Mus musculus: one gene and its partner. The protein of the gene in region 1 binds, or shares a complex with, the protein of each later gene. Links are inferred from orthologs where the notes say so. Each region holds a gene or a part of one and is shown on either strand. Other genes may lie near its edges.

Region 1 (3,959 bases):
ATCTAAATCACAAGTTTACAGAAAACATCCACACCAACGAAAGGTTAGATGCTTCTATTTTGAGGAGAAGGAATAGGTTAGGTACAGCCATGGAGGGAGGGAGGGAAGGGAAAATACCTTAGTCATCTTGATCTTATAACGCTGGTATAAGGTGGTCTCGTTGATTTCTGGGGAACCCATGAATTTAGCCCTTATGACTAGAGGAAAGGAAGGGGAAATGGGGAATCAAATGGGCAAGCAGCATGAACCCATAGCAGCAAAGCATATATACAGCATAATTCAAATGGCTTCCACATCAGTTGATTCATCTACATATTGTCTATTCTTTTAGGCACTGTTTTAAGCCCTTTTCATATATCCATTTATTGGCTTACTCAACAAATATTTTGGAGTGCCTGGTGCCAGCCACTGTTCAGGGTGTTAGGGACAGTGACCCAAATACAGGAATCCATTTCCTTATGGAGCTCACATTCAAGCCAGGAGGAGACAGACTAACATTAAGTAGCCAGGCATGGTGGCACAGGCCTGTAACCCTAGCTCTGTCAGAGCCTGATGGAGGATCACTTTACTCTGAGTTCAAGACTAGTCTAGACAATTTAGTGAGAACCTGTTTAAAATAAAAAATTCACCAAAAAAAGGGTTGGGTTTGTAGCTCAATTGTGCAGTATTTGCCTGGATCCTAGGTTCAATCCCCGGTACCAAGGGGAAAAAGAAAAAAAGGTATGTGGATTGTTACAGGCTATTAAGTGGGTTAGAAAATTAGAATAGGGAAGGGGTTGACAGATGCTTTGCTTGACCACAATTTACTCAGGCTCATTAACCTTCTTCCAAGCTCATTAGTACAGTTTCTCTTTAAAATCCACTTGTAGCGAAGTATCCTAAATTAGGTTAGTGAAAACACCCACCCTTATCTGATTCTCCTCAGTATGTGATGGGGCCACCAGATGATTATACTAGCCAGTTTTCAAGAGACCTAAACTGGGTGTGATGGCACAGACCTGCAATCTCAGCACTTGGATGGCTGAGTGGGAAGGATCAGGGGTTCAAGGCCAGCCTGGGTTATATAGTGAGACCTAGTCTCAAAAACAAAAAGTAAGCTGATAGGCTAGAGAGATGACTTAATGGTTAAGAGCACTTGCTGCTCTTTGAGGTCCCAAGTTTAGTTCCCAGAATCCACATAGGGTAGCTCACAACCATTCATAACTCCAGCTCCAGGGGATTTGATGCCTTGAGGACCCACAGGCACCTACACACCACACATGGAATACACACAAACATACACATAAATAAAAATAATCTTTTTAATGGATTTAGCCTGAATCCTCTTGCCTTTGATATTTCTTCTCAATGGTTTCCCATTCACCAACTCCCAAACTGTTCCTTGGCCATTGAGTTCCATTTGCCCATGTAATGTTGAGAGTTAATCTATCTCCCCCCACCACCCCCATCTCTTGGCAAATTCTAATTGTCATGGTCCTGAATGAAGTCTGCCTGCCTGTGTCCTAAGAAGTGCCATTAACAGCATATGTAACAAAGGTTCAGGAGTACTATGTGGCTGGCATTAAATTTAAAATTAAATAAAAGTAGGCAAGCACCTCAGTAAGATGACTTTTAAGGCAGCCACCCATGTAGATAACTACAGAAAAGCATGTACATAGTACTGGGAGCAGCCAGCACAAAGGTAGGCTTAGGCCCAAGGATGTCAGTGTGGCAAAAGCAGATGTATGGAAGGGTAAGTAGAACTGTCCTAGAGACAACTGCCATAATGAACCCTATTGGATTAAGAGGGACAGAAAGGGGGCCAGACTCACCCAGGTCCGAGTTGCAGAAGGCTGTCTGTGGGTGGGGTGGGGCACAGCTACAGGCCTTACTGGAAGCTATCAGTGATAGCAACAAGAGGATGCCAGATGCCAGAGATGCAAAGGGGGCCATCATGGTATCTGCTGGTAAAGAGTAGGTGTTAATAGGTTCCCAGACCAACGGCTTACATGGCCATTGGTCCTAGGGAGATTTGGGACCTCTTTAGGTTAGAGAATGGAGTTGTGGCAGTTGGTGAATAAGGGAGCGGAGAACGTTGAGAATTTAACAGAATTGGGAAAATCTGACATTTGTGTAGTGATGAATTTGGAGTTTGGGAAACTGGAGAAATATAATGAGGAATTAGGGCTATTAAAATATAATGGGCTGAGGATTTCAGAGATATTGGGGGGTTAGAACAGGTTTGGGGTTTTAGGGAGCTGGAGAAAATGGGGGTTAAGGGTCTTGGGGAATTTGGAGGTTTACGACAATGGTAATGCTTGAGGAATTTGTAGGCAGAAGAACTGTTGAAGTTCCATGAACCAGACATGGCAAAGAGAACAGGGGAGTTACCAGGAACCATAAGGATTGAGGGACAGGCAAGTTGGGAAGTCTTCAAGGTATTAAAGGCTTGTGGGTTTGGAGCACTTAGCAAAGGCATGAAGGAGTCTGGAGAGTCCAGCTTGGGACGATCATTCCAGGCCCTCTCCCGTTATATTCCTCTTTAGCTAACTAGGGATCCTGATACCTGCAAGCCACGTGAGCAGTTAGTCTGGCAAGGGCTGCATGAGCCGCACCAACACAGGCTCCAGGCAAGCCCCAGTTCTGCCAGGACACCCGGCTCCCACTTACCTCTGGTGTGTCTCTAGGAGCCCCGATCTGCGATGATGGCGGCAGGGGCTGCACAGTGGAGAATAAATGTCCATGCGAAGGGCGGAGTTGGCGGGGAAATCACTGCCTCCAGGCTTCCTGGACGCATTACTCATCCACCCACCGCTGGAGTCAAAGCCTAGGGGCGGGCCCCAGGATAAACCCAAAGATACTCCCTCCTCTGCCAGCCAGCCCACTGCGCCCCCTTCCCCCAGCTCCACGTCATGCACAGTCCTTCCTGGCGGCCTTGAAGGGCAGAAGAGAGAGCGCCTAAAGCTTTGTGCCTCTCAGGTTTCCCATATTCCCCAAACTTCCTGTGGCTGAAGCCAATAACTTCTTTCTCACGCCTTTCATCTACTATGTAACAATCTCACAAGAAAGGCATTCCTGTGGATCTGAAATTCTGGTGAGGGGTGTCAGAGGGTGACAAACTAGAAAAGCAGTTGAGGGACATGACATGGGAGAAGAGGCACAAATACATAGTGGGGAAATTGATACACTGGATAAGTCTATGACTTATCCAAGATAGCAGTTGAGTCTGGCAGAACTGGGAGGGAACCGAGGCTGCTTGCAGACAGAGCCTAGGTACCCCAAACCTTGCTGTGGCTGCACACACCGGTGAGGCTATTTGAAGATATCATCAGCTACAAGAGACCCTGTCTTAAACAGAAACAAGACCAAACAGGCAAATAACTGAAGTAAAGATCTTTGTTAGTGTCACAGGACAAAACAGGGATTTAAACCTAGGCTTCCTGACCCTGGAGTCCTAACTCAGGCAGGACACAATCTTGACAAGCAGGGAATGGTGTGGTGAGCATGGGTGGTGGTGGTGGTGGTGACTGATGGTAAAAGAAGTTAGTGAGTCAGTAGAAAAACCATCCCTACTCCATCCTGCCCTGCCCCTTCCCCCACCAACCAGCCCACACCCCTTGTGGGGATGGGATGAGGCAACTGCTGCCCACCAGCTTCCTGATGATGCAGGAGTATTCCCTGGGGTCCTGTGGAAGGGTTCTATGGACTGATTAGCATCTTCAATTAATATAGGGAGGAAAGACCAATAATAATGACAATGGTTGTAATCGCAGCAGGCAAGCTGATCCAGAGAATTAGAGGGTACATAGTCTATACAGTGAGTTCCAGGACAGCCAGCGATACATAGTGAGAACCTGTGACAGAGATAGAGAGAGAGACAGAGAGAATATGGTAGTGGTGATCACAGCTACTTACTGAATGCTTACTGTACATCATTACTAAGGTTATTATGTAAATTTACTTTAGCTAATTCAATTTTA
Region 2 (4,023 bases), on another chromosome or scaffold:
TTCGGTACATTTAATAAATAATAACTTACTTAAAAATAAACAGGACTCCATTACCCCCAAGTTATTAATCTCCTTCAGGTGTGGTGGCCTAAAGTAGAGTTCTTTTATCCACCAAAATCACTCCTGCAAGGCACACCCTTTCATGGTTAGTCAACCACAGTCAAAATCATAACTCTGATCAACAAGAACCATCAGCAGGATGTGCCACCAACAACAAAGGAATGATTCAAATGAATATGAGGCATCTCAGAATGAGTCGACTCAGCACCTCAGGCAGTTAGCAATCTGTCCTGCTAACAAGCCCTATCAGCTAATAACCCAGGAATAAAGTAAAAAGGCACTTGCTGCCCGCATGAAGTACACATAAAACCAAGACCTTGTTTGTTTTCCATAGGGAAAGCAATCACGGGATAAAATTACATACTTGCTCAAGTCTAGCTGATGGTTCAGTCTGTCAGCCTCTTTGCCTCTCTGAATTTTAGGTTGGCATATTCTCTGTGTAGTGCCTACACTAAGCCACAAGCTGACTTGGCTGGCCTAGTGTACACATCCCTCATCCAAGCTGTGGCTCAAAGGCCTCAAAGCCTCCTGGTTTAGGAAGAGGAGGACAGAGGTAGGAAGAATATTTTCATTTAATAGTTAATTAACTGATTTCCATTTGACACGTCTTTATGGAGCCAGTATATGCTTATAGCAATTATTCTGAAACAGAGAGTAGGTGGGCCCCAAGCTTCTTACCTCTGTACATTTCCTCCTCCGTATTGACTGCTTTCTCAGAGTACTCTTACCCCAGGGCTGGAAATACCTCTTACCCAAGGACTCCAGCAATGGAGTTTCTGCCATTATAGCTTCCTAGACAGCAGTCCTTACATTCACTTTGCAATCTCTTTCCATTAAACTATTCACTCCTTGCCTGAATGTATGTAAGCCTAAGGCATGTTTTTAAAAATTACACTGCTTTCAAAATATCTAAACATTTTGCAAATATTAATTACCCAGACAGTCCCTTTTCCTCTTTGTAAACACAGAAGCCACATCCTTGAGATTAAGCATTCTTTCAAGTTTACTAGGTTGAGGGATTCACTGATGTAAGCTATTCTCTCTTCATCTTATGAATGTTCTTGTAGTCATTTGGATTAAAAATAGCACCCATGTGAGTCATGCTTAGTGACCTAAACACCGACTCCCTATAAAAGAGTGGCCACTAAAGGGAAGATATGGAAACCAGGTGCTAGAGAAGGATCGGTTTTTAAAGTAAAGACTGTCTGTATGGAGCCACTAGCCATCCTGGCACTGCTGAGCCTACCAATCTGCTCAGCGTATCCTCTGCATGGGGCAGTGACACAAGGCCACCCAAGCATGGATCTTGCTCAGGTAATCAGTCAGTGGTGGGGATCCGCTTCAACCAAAGTGGAGGCACAGCCTTGCCCTTTGGTCTTCCAGCAGCAGTAGTTGAGTTAGTTAGAAGTTGTGTTGGAAAATATCCAAGTGTAAGAGGTAGAAACTCCATCTTCACCGAAAAGTGAAAAGGGAAGGAAGGAATCGCAGTTACTGGGGGTAAATAACAATGACAGCAGCCGAAGTGGGGAGACTGGGAATGGATGAGCTCACTCCTGTGCTGGAATTATGCTATTTAAGATACTTTAGGAGGGAGGGCATGATAATATTTATCTCCTACAACTTCAAGAAGCAAAGAATACTCTAATTTTTCATTTGTGAAAAAAAATGAATTTATCCAACAACACTCAACATTGACAGGTTTGTGTTAATAATGGAAATAGAAAACTTAGATACATCCATTTAATGTGCTCATACATTTATGCCGACTTCCTTGCTTTGGTAGCAAATTAAATTGCAATGAAATAATAAAATGAGGGATTTTTGCAGGAAAAAAATCAAATGAAGCACTACATCTACTTGTGTTTCACTAAACTGGGAATGATTAAAATAGATCTTGAGATTTGTGTATGTGTTTACATTTCATAGCAACCTCTTTAAAACTATGCTTGTTTCTCCACTAGCAATACCTAGAAAAATACTACAACTTTAAAAAAAATGAGAAACAAATTTTCAAAAGAAAGGACAGTAGTCCTGTTGTCAAAAAAATTCAAGAAATGCAGAAGTTCCTCGGGTTGGAGATGACAGGGAAGCTGGACTCCAACACTATGGAGCTGATGCACAAGCCCAGGTGTGGTGTTCCTGATGTTGGTGGCTTCAGTACCTTCCCAGGTTCGCCAAAATGGAGGAAATCCCACATCACCTACAGGTAATGGCTCCAGAGTTTTCACACAGCGTTATAAATGTGTCAGGAGCATCACAGAAGCAAAGATTACCTTCTTTGATTTCTCTTATCCAGGATTGTGAATTATACACCAGATTTGCCAAGACAGAGTGTGGATTCTGCCATTGAGAAAGCTTTGAAGGTCTGGGAGGAGGTGACCCCACTCACTTTCTCCAGGATCTCTGAAGGAGAGGCTGACATAATGATCTCCTTTGCAGTTGGAGGTAATGCTCTCATCTGGTGTTTGAGTTATTCAGGCTACTCAAACAAAATATCTCACATTGGAAGATCTGTAAACAACACAAAGGTATCACTCAGACTTCCTGAATCTGAAAAATATAAAATAAGGGGGTGGGAAAACTCAATCTGGTGTGTTCTTAGGTAGCACCTGTGTTACCTCCTATGGCAAAAGCAGCCAAGAGGTGCCTCCAACTTCTTTCTCATAGACACTAATGGACACTAAGCATCCATGAAGACTCACACCCTTATCGTATTCTAAAGGTGATGGCTGCCTAGCATTCCCATCACACTGAAGATTACATCTAGATTTCAAGAGAAATAAACTGTCAAACCATACAGCCCCTGAGCTCTCTTACTGAAAAGGGATTGGAGGAAATTCTAATACTTACATTTCTGTACATTTGTTTACCATCAGAACACGGAGACTTTTACCCTTTTGATGGGCCAGGACAGAGTCTGGCTCATGCCTACCCACCTGGCCCTGGATTTTATGGAGATGTTCACTTCGATGATGATGAGAAATGGACACTTGCACCCTCAGGTAGGATAAGGTCAGATATGAGTTGTCCAAGAATAACATGATTGTCTAGAGCAAGTCTCAAATGGAATATTCTGCTATCTGTACTTTCTGATTCGCTGTGTAGCAACCTGAAGCCCTATTAGTAATCTACCCATTACATGGTAATGAACCATGTAAGCTGAGTCATTCTTTCTTTGCTCCAAGTACAATATGGTGAGTGCCATTCAACTTTCTTTCCACAATTCAGGATCTTGTACAGGGTTTGAGTGTAACCTCTTCAACACTGTGTACCACTGTTCACCACTGTTAACTGCTATTCACCACTGTTTACCAATCCCATAATAGAGGAGTAGTTTAATGAATGTAATTGAGTAAGACAGTGTGTGATCCCAAGGATGCCCTGTGTGTGCCAGGCATGGTGGCGCATGCCTTTAATCCCAGCACTTGGGAGGCAGAGGCAGGCGGATTTCTGAGTTCAAGGCCAGCCTGGTCTAAAAAGTGAGTTCCAGGACAGCCAGGGCTATACAGAGAAACCCTGTCTCAAAAAACAAACAAACAAAACAAAACAAAACAAAACGGATGCCCTGTGTGGTTGGCATGAGCAATGTGTGTTTGTTTGTGGAATAGTAACGGTTACACTCTGAATATTTGTGGTTTCTCAAACAGGGACCAACTTATTCCTGGTTGCAGCCCATGAACTTGGCCACTCCCTGGGTCTCTTTCATTCCGACAAGAAAGAATCTCTGATGTACCCAGTCTACAGGTTCTCCACAAGCCCAGCTAACTTCCACCTTTCTCAAGATGATATAGAGGGCATTCAATCCCTGTATGGTAAGCAAGAAGAAAAAGAGGCTTAGGGGTGGTTTTTGTTTGTTTGCTTGCTTGCTTGCTTGCTTGCTTTAGTCAGTGCTCTTTAAGAATGTGGTACAGTAAGTCTTCAGGAAAACTTTTGTTTTTATTACATTGTGTGCTCTCGTGTGCA

The links.
Region 2: the proteins of Timp1 (region 1) and Mmp10 are in contact, whole or in part, in a crystal structure (PDB 3V96), measured with the Homo sapiens proteins. The link is inferred for Mus musculus from reciprocal best matches to the Homo sapiens genes TIMP1 and MMP10. Residues at the interface, in NP_003245.1 of Homo sapiens: Cys24, Thr25, Cys26, Val27, Pro28, Asn37, Leu57, Tyr58, Pro87, Met89, Glu90, Ser91, Val92, Cys93, Arg98, Thr121, Cys122, Cys155, Leu156, Ser157, Ile158, Gln173, Leu174, Gly177, Ser178, Glu179, Lys180; in NP_002416.1 of Homo sapiens: Phe170, Tyr171, Gly177, His178, Ser179, Leu180, Ala181, His182, Ala183, Tyr184, Pro185, Tyr191, Asp205, Ala206, Ser207, Gly208, Val214, His217, Glu218, His221, Phe226, His227, Thr231, Tyr236, Pro237, Leu238, Tyr239, Asn240, Phe242, Thr243.

Annotation. Positions count from the first base shown.
Region 1 is NC_000086.7:20,869,015-20,872,973, reverse strand, and holds the start of Timp1 (metalloproteinase inhibitor 1 isoform a precursor), read right to left. Parts: upstream 2,809-3,959; 5' UTR 2,650-2,808; intron 1,944-2,649; exon of another isoform or gene 1,941-1,943; 5' UTR 1,936-1,940; coding exon 1,812-1,935; intron 198-1,811; coding exon 118-197; intron 1-117. UniProt on the Homo sapiens protein: Metalloproteinase inhibitor that functions by forming one to one complexes with target metalloproteinases, such as collagenases, and irreversibly inactivates them by binding to their catalytic zinc cofactor.
Region 2 is NC_000075.6:7,501,125-7,505,147, forward strand, and holds the start of Mmp10 (stromelysin-2 preproprotein), read left to right. Parts: upstream 1-1,217; 5' UTR 1,218-1,269; coding exon 1,270-1,374; intron 1,375-2,021; coding exon 2,022-2,266; intron 2,267-2,356; coding exon 2,357-2,505; intron 2,506-2,936; coding exon 2,937-3,062; intron 3,063-3,707; coding exon 3,708-3,872; intron 3,873-4,023. UniProt on the Homo sapiens protein: Can degrade fibronectin, gelatins of type I, III, IV, and V; weakly collagens III, IV, and V. Activates procollagenase.